Linked DNA regions of Yarrowia lipolytica. The protein of the gene in region 1 interacts with the protein of each later gene in a pairwise test. Links are inferred from orthologs where the notes say so. Each region holds a gene or a part of one and is shown on either strand. Other genes may lie near its edges. The genes, in order: YALI1_F22219g and YALI1_F04238g.

Region 1 (3,095 bases):
TAATAATCTAACAAAGCGAAGTTCGGACTGTAGTTAAATAGCGATACAACTGTGCACGACAAGGTGTAGTGTACCAGTGTAAATGAGGACAGCGTTGAGACGTTTATATATGGCCGGAATTGAACACAGTGGTATTGAGGAATAGTGATGGCTATGTTCCTCTGATTAACCAGGTCATATACTATCAATACTATCGTAGACACTATCGTAGGTACAGTATGTACTTATATTTGTACTTATAGTAGATTCTCCCACCTAGTTCAATTGGAGATAAATTACTATATATGGAAAGAAGAAGGAGCAGTATTAAACTGGGAAGTTGGTCCTGACATTTATATGAAGATCTGTGTGAGTAAAGTAGCTGTTTGTATCTGAAATGGATATTCATTGCTGTACAACTACTCATCGTGCTCATTCAGTACTGTGGCCACCAGTAGTCAATCTCCGTAAACATGCCATTGTTATATTCAAAATGCTATAAACATCCTCGAGTACCTTCGATACCGTCTCTATCATAATTCATCTTTTCTCTTCAGACAACTTCACTAACCTGCAAGCTCTGATCGTACAAGAGTCTCTCCAGCTTAGCCAGACTCTGCTGGAACACCTCTATCTTCTTGACCAGGTTTGGATCACCTGTGAGCACGAAGACAGAGTACTCGAACTCCCGCAGTAACGCCACAATTGGCAATCCATGTGCTTTGTTCAGAGTTCCGTATCTCATTAGCTCACCGGTCAGATCAAACAGACCAGAAATGTAGTCTCTAGGATGGACATATACATCAATGTTGTGTTGTTTGATGATCTCATGCAGCTCTTCCATGGTCATGATCTGGCCCCTTTCAAGCCAGAACTGGAAAGACATGGCTTCAATCATCTCCTCCGAAGCTCCAGACACCTGCCGAGAGTATTTCCAGTACGCGTTTGTGCTGTTGCCAACTAAACTGTTGATCTCGGCGAACTTGGCAGCAATCAGCTTGTACTGAGACGTCAGGGTCGCCTGTACGTCTGGAGCCAATGAGAGCGGCTCCTGGCCATTCTTTTTGACCCTGTGAAGTGCAAAAATGATTTTCTTGCTGGCTGCCGTCACGTCTCGCGAAATGTTGATGACCTGAGACCGCTCATCCTGAGAGATGTCGAGGCGTGTCTTGAATTGGAGAAAAAAGTTTTTGGCCGTTTCTTCCGTGCTGGATTCGATTTTGGCCACCTTGACGCCCTCCTCGACTTCTGTTTCTGTGTTTCGTTTCAGTGACATGTCGTGAAGAAATATTTAGCCTCCATGCAGGAACTTGTGTAAGGTGCATGCAACGAACCCAGCACAACCCAGTCAGACTCAGAACTACAAGATTTCATTATTGCAACTCAGACTATACAAATACAATAAATACTTTTAATTATGTGCAATCTGACGGTCAATCTCGCCGATTTCCGTCTGAAGGGAAACCTCCTCGACTGTCTTGACCAACTCCTTGGTACACTTGGTAAGATCAAACGAAAGACCAGCAAGCCGCTGCTTGAACTGCTTGGGAGGGTACTCGGCTCCGGGCTTAACGAACTTGTCGTCCTTGAAGATCATCTTCATTCTATCCGTGCAGGCCCGCAGATCCTGGCAAATCCAAGTGCCATTCTCCTTAAGCAGATGGTTTCGAGTCTGGGCCATGGACTGAGAAGTGGCATCCACCATGCATAGCACAACCTTGCAAATGGCTCGAGAGTGAGCGGAGATGGCAATCATGTTGGAATTGCCCTTGATGGCCGTCAGCAGATTCTGAATAGCCTCGATGACTTCTACACACTGCTCCTCAAGGTAATATTGCAGATCCTCCACGGTGTTGTCGGGATCTTCACCATCGAATTTGACGGCCTTGGGCAGATAAATGCCCAGATCCGCAGCAATGATCTGCTCGTCCTCGGACTCGGACTCTGACTCGTCCTCATCATCCTCTTCGTCACTGTCCTCCTCTTCGCTGCTCTCCAGCTCACTGCCGTCCTCACCACTCTCGATCTCCTCAGAGTGGCCCTCAAACTGATGTTGAGCCACTTTGACGGGGGGAACATGCCCATCATCAATCTCACTGATTTCACTGGTGAGAGACTCGCGAGGCTGAGGCGCATCCTGCACAGAAGTGACAGAATGGGTCAGTGGAGTGCTGTGATTGTCGTAGTGGTGACCCTCGTGATCCTCGCCGCCAAGAAGAGTGTCGTAGTCTTCTCGAGACTTGGGTGAATCAACACCTCGGGGCTTGACATTGCCATCGTCGCTCATCTGAGTGAGCTCCGTAGTATCATCCTGGTTCTCAGACATGTTTGACACATGAGAAATGTCAGGCGACTGGCTCACAACTTCCCGAAGTGCACTGGGAAGCTCAAAAGTGGCCTGAGGATCGAAAGACTCCTGGGGATGAAAGGCACCAGGAGAAGACATTGAAGTGGCAGAAGAGTCCAGAGCAGGGGAAGCAATGGCAGGAGAGGCGTACGACTTGCCAAGGGCCGAAGCAACACCAGTACCGGCCATGGAAGCGCCCACAACAGCAGTAGCGGCCATGGCTGCAGTGCTGAGCTCGTTGGGGGTTGGTGCATGACCATCGACCCCACTGGAAGCCACATGGGGCTGAATAGACTCTGTGTGAGCATGAACAGGCTCAAAGTGAGCATCCTGAAAGTCATCTTCCTCCACTTCCTCGTCGTCATGCTCGTCGTCATCCCCGTCTCCAACAACAGCAATAGCGCGGGTTTCCTCGTCAGCACGCTTCTCAGCAGCTCGAAGTTCCTGAGCAGACACGTAGTCGTATCGCTGAATTTCGTGGAGAGGACCGTCGAAAGTTTCAGGCTCAGCAGGACCGTCCTCACCGTTGGGATGACAATCAAAGTATTCCTTGTTGGAACCAGAGTACACATTCTGCCCAATGGAGTATCCATGTCCCTCTTCGGCACCGTGCTCACGGGCATTGTTCATCTCACGAGCCTTGTCGAGAACACGGTCCTGGTCCAGAGTTCGGGGCTCCACGTCTGCCTGATGAGACGTGAAGTTGAGAGCCTGGCTCTGGCCCGCTGCTTGCAAATCCCGAGGCTTGAGCTGAAGACCAGATTCGGCA
Region 2 (3,152 bases), about 1.8 Mb from region 1:
AGTCACAGTTCCCGTGGCTCCGCAGGTTGCAGATCACCCCGCGTGGGTGGAGCAGGCTGTGCAGTCACAAAGCAGCTCTACCTCTGAGTCGTCATCAAACGACGCTCATGCCCACCACAAGCTCAAGCTCCGACAAAGTGCCATTGAGGCGGGTGTGCATGACTCGTGGGAAGTCTTTCCGACCCGGCGAAACAACAAAAACCAGGTGGAGCTGTGTTTGGGAGAGGGAAGATGGGCCGTTCTTGAAACTGTCTATTAGTATATAGTATTTATTGAGTGAGTGTTTGAGAGCGGAGCTCTACAACACGTTCAGCACGGATCCAGTAGTTATAAAATGATAAAACTGCTCAGATTTCTTTGATAGTGACAAGAGTCACAAGTACACGTGATCAAGTGGCGTTTAAGTGTTTTTATGGTCATTGTTGTATGTAGCGAGTAGGACCAAGACCGTTATTTCACTGTAGCATCTGCCGAACATTGATATTCACCCTCTTTGTGTCCAGCCAGTCCTGGTACGGACTATTCAAATCGGGAGAAGTGTTTGAAAACACCTTTCCAATGCCATGGTACGCATGTCTCGACTTGCCGCCCATAACAATGACATCTCCAGACCTCAGCATGAGACAGAGAGGAGGAGCCAGACTGTTTTCGCTGTCATCGTATCGGTTGAGACCCACGTAAAAAATTGCGTCCAAGCCTATTGACACACTGACCAGGTCGTCTTGAGACAGTTCAGCTACGTCTTGGTGAGGAGAGAGAATGTCTCCGGGACTGTAGAAGTTGATGATAGCAGCTTCGGGGTTTATAGAGAACAAAGGACGGCTCAGAAGCTCGTAGAGGTTCTTGGGAAAATATGGGAACCCTTCTGTGCCGGGAATAAAGCTCGGGTACGCTTTTGTAGTCCAGTTGTACTGTCCTCCGAGGGTGACCCATCGTAACTGTTTGTTCTTGATCTTGTCTCTTGATGTGGGCTTTCCTCCTTCTCTATGTAGTATTTTGGCGTGAGGATTTTCGTTGTTGAATAGGTTGAAAGGCCGCGGAATGTCGTAGAACAAGTCCAGGTTATTGAGATGTTCTTTTGGTGGTAGGTACTGCTCGATAGTCTCTGTCACCAGGCGTGACTGGACTGCTGGAGGCATCAGGTTGGGGTATATGAGTAGCCCTGGAAGTTCTTCGACTGTGTAGTAATGTTTGGGTGGAGCGAAGTCAACTTGCGTCTGTGCAAAGGTCTCGAATCTGTTTTTTAGACCCACTGATTCGGCATCAAACTGCTCTTGTTGTATCGTGTAGTGTGGAGATGAGTATGATTTGTAGGATGAAAACACGTCTGGGCTGTGTAGTGCGTCTTCATGGCTGATGTGTCGGTGTGATTTGTAGTATGGTCTAAAGAGATCGTTTGCTGGCGCTGGCGACGGGGATAGCGACGGCCGTGGTGTTTCCAGGGTCATTCTAGTGTTTGTACTAGCTCGAGATAATCATCCGACTTCTTCTACTCCACCACCTGCATGAATGGTGCACTTTATTTTTCACTGCATGATATCTGGAAGTATTATCTAAAAGTTTGGATCGATCCTTTCAAACTCAACATATCACCATGGACTGGCTCAGTGAAGTGCAAAAGCTCAACGACCAGAACTCGCAGAACGTCACCCGGCTGAACGAAGAGATCGACAAGCTAGATCTGACGCTCAAGAAGGCTCAGATTGTAGTAGGACGAGCTCACACTGTGGCCCCCACCAAGTTTTATCTCCAGCCTCTGCTTGAAGACCCCATCTACGCAGAGATTGCAGAAAAGTGTCAGGAGCTGGCGACTACCGCGTCTCAATGGCAGTTTTACAGATACAACAACATGTACGGCGGCTGTTTCCAGCGGGCTGTGTTTGTGACTCTGCTACGACACTTTCTGGCCAACTGGGTGGACACTGACATGGCTATTGTGGTCTCCAACCCCTCCAATTGGCAGTCACTGGTGGCCGCCACCCCCCTAGGACCTGATCTAGTGTCCAAGCAGCTTGGAGTGCCGTTTTTGACCGAGCTGGAGGCTGGAAATGAAAACACGTGCCATCTGACCGACTACGACTACCTGCTGGGTATCGTGACCATGATCAACGAGCTTTCTCGACTTGCATTCAACTCCGTTACGGCCATTGCCTCGTATAACGAGAGCCACGACACCAAGTTGCCATTTGTGTTCCCTCAGTACCTTCTTGCATTCATTAAGAACACTCATGCTGGCCTCATGGTGCTGAATCTGAAGAATGATAAACTGCGAAGAAGTTATGATTCTATCAAATATGATGTGAAGAAGGTGGAGGAGATTATCTATGATTTGACCGTGAGACGGTTGGTCTAAAGACGGTTTCTCCAGGATGTGATTGCTGAAGAGCGTCTGAAAGAAAGAAGAAAAGATAACACGAGAAAACACCAACGCTACAGCCGTTTTTAGAGAGCTGACTATGAAAGACTGGTAACTAATGACTACCGTGCATATTTCAATCAATAATATCAAGAAAACCTATTGGTCTTTAGTCATACACATCTATCATAATGATAACCAGGTTATGTATATTTCTCGTACAGTGCCATATGCAACTACAGTTCAAGTACACTCATAGTGGCCCCCTTATAAAAGCTAGGAAGCTACAAGTAGTCAGATACTGGGATCTTAAAGGAGCTCTTCGAACTTGGATACTCTCCGCGAAACATCAGTATAAGAGCTCTGACCACTCGTACATGGTAGGAGATCTGTTACCCCCTAACAAGGAAAGCACACAGTAGTATCTGTTTCTAAGTAGAAGCAGCCTCCATAAAGTGTTGAAATTGAAAGGACGGGATCATCCGTATCTTAACCTGCTGCAAGTATCGTACTGTTTCGTCTCTTCTGGCGTACAGTAGCTTCCTTACAGTACAGTATGTAGCACCTGATAGGACAGAACTATCGAGAGAAAATAAGCAGCAACGTGCCACAGAATAATGAGCACACCAGGGGCCTATATACGAGTATAGTCTACTTGTTTTTGTACTCTCCTTCGATCGGCCCTTTCAAATGTATAGCTATGGTATGTGCTGAACTGCATAGACTGCTTGGTTCCCCATTACTGCTCGGTTTCTTCCTATGTCACCACTGCGTAGTTCACCAAAGAGTCCGCTCC

Evidence for each region.
Region 2: the proteins of YALI1_F22219g (region 1) and YALI1_F04238g interact in a two-hybrid assay, tested with the Schizosaccharomyces pombe proteins (2 studies listed by BioGRID). The link is inferred for Yarrowia lipolytica from reciprocal best matches to the Schizosaccharomyces pombe genes tfx1 and tsn1.

The regions. Positions count from the first base shown.
Region 1 is NC_090775.1:2,220,682-2,223,776, forward strand, and holds YALI1_F22219g (uncharacterized protein), read right to left. Parts: upstream 1,256-3,095; coding exon 533-1,255; downstream 1-532. Other genes in the region: YALI1_F22241g (uncharacterized protein), read right to left, coding at 1,391-3,095.
Region 2 is NC_090775.1:422,252-425,403, forward strand, and holds YALI1_F04238g (uncharacterized protein), read left to right. Parts: upstream 1-1,594; coding exon 1,595-2,353; downstream 2,354-3,152. Other genes in the region: YALI1_F04211g (uncharacterized protein), read left to right, coding at 1-259; YALI1_F04236g (uncharacterized protein), read right to left, coding at 456-1,448. UniProt on the Schizosaccharomyces pombe protein: DNA-binding protein that specifically recognizes consensus sequences at the breakpoint junctions in chromosomal translocations. Selectively binds single-stranded d(GT)n and d(GTT)n microsatellite repeats.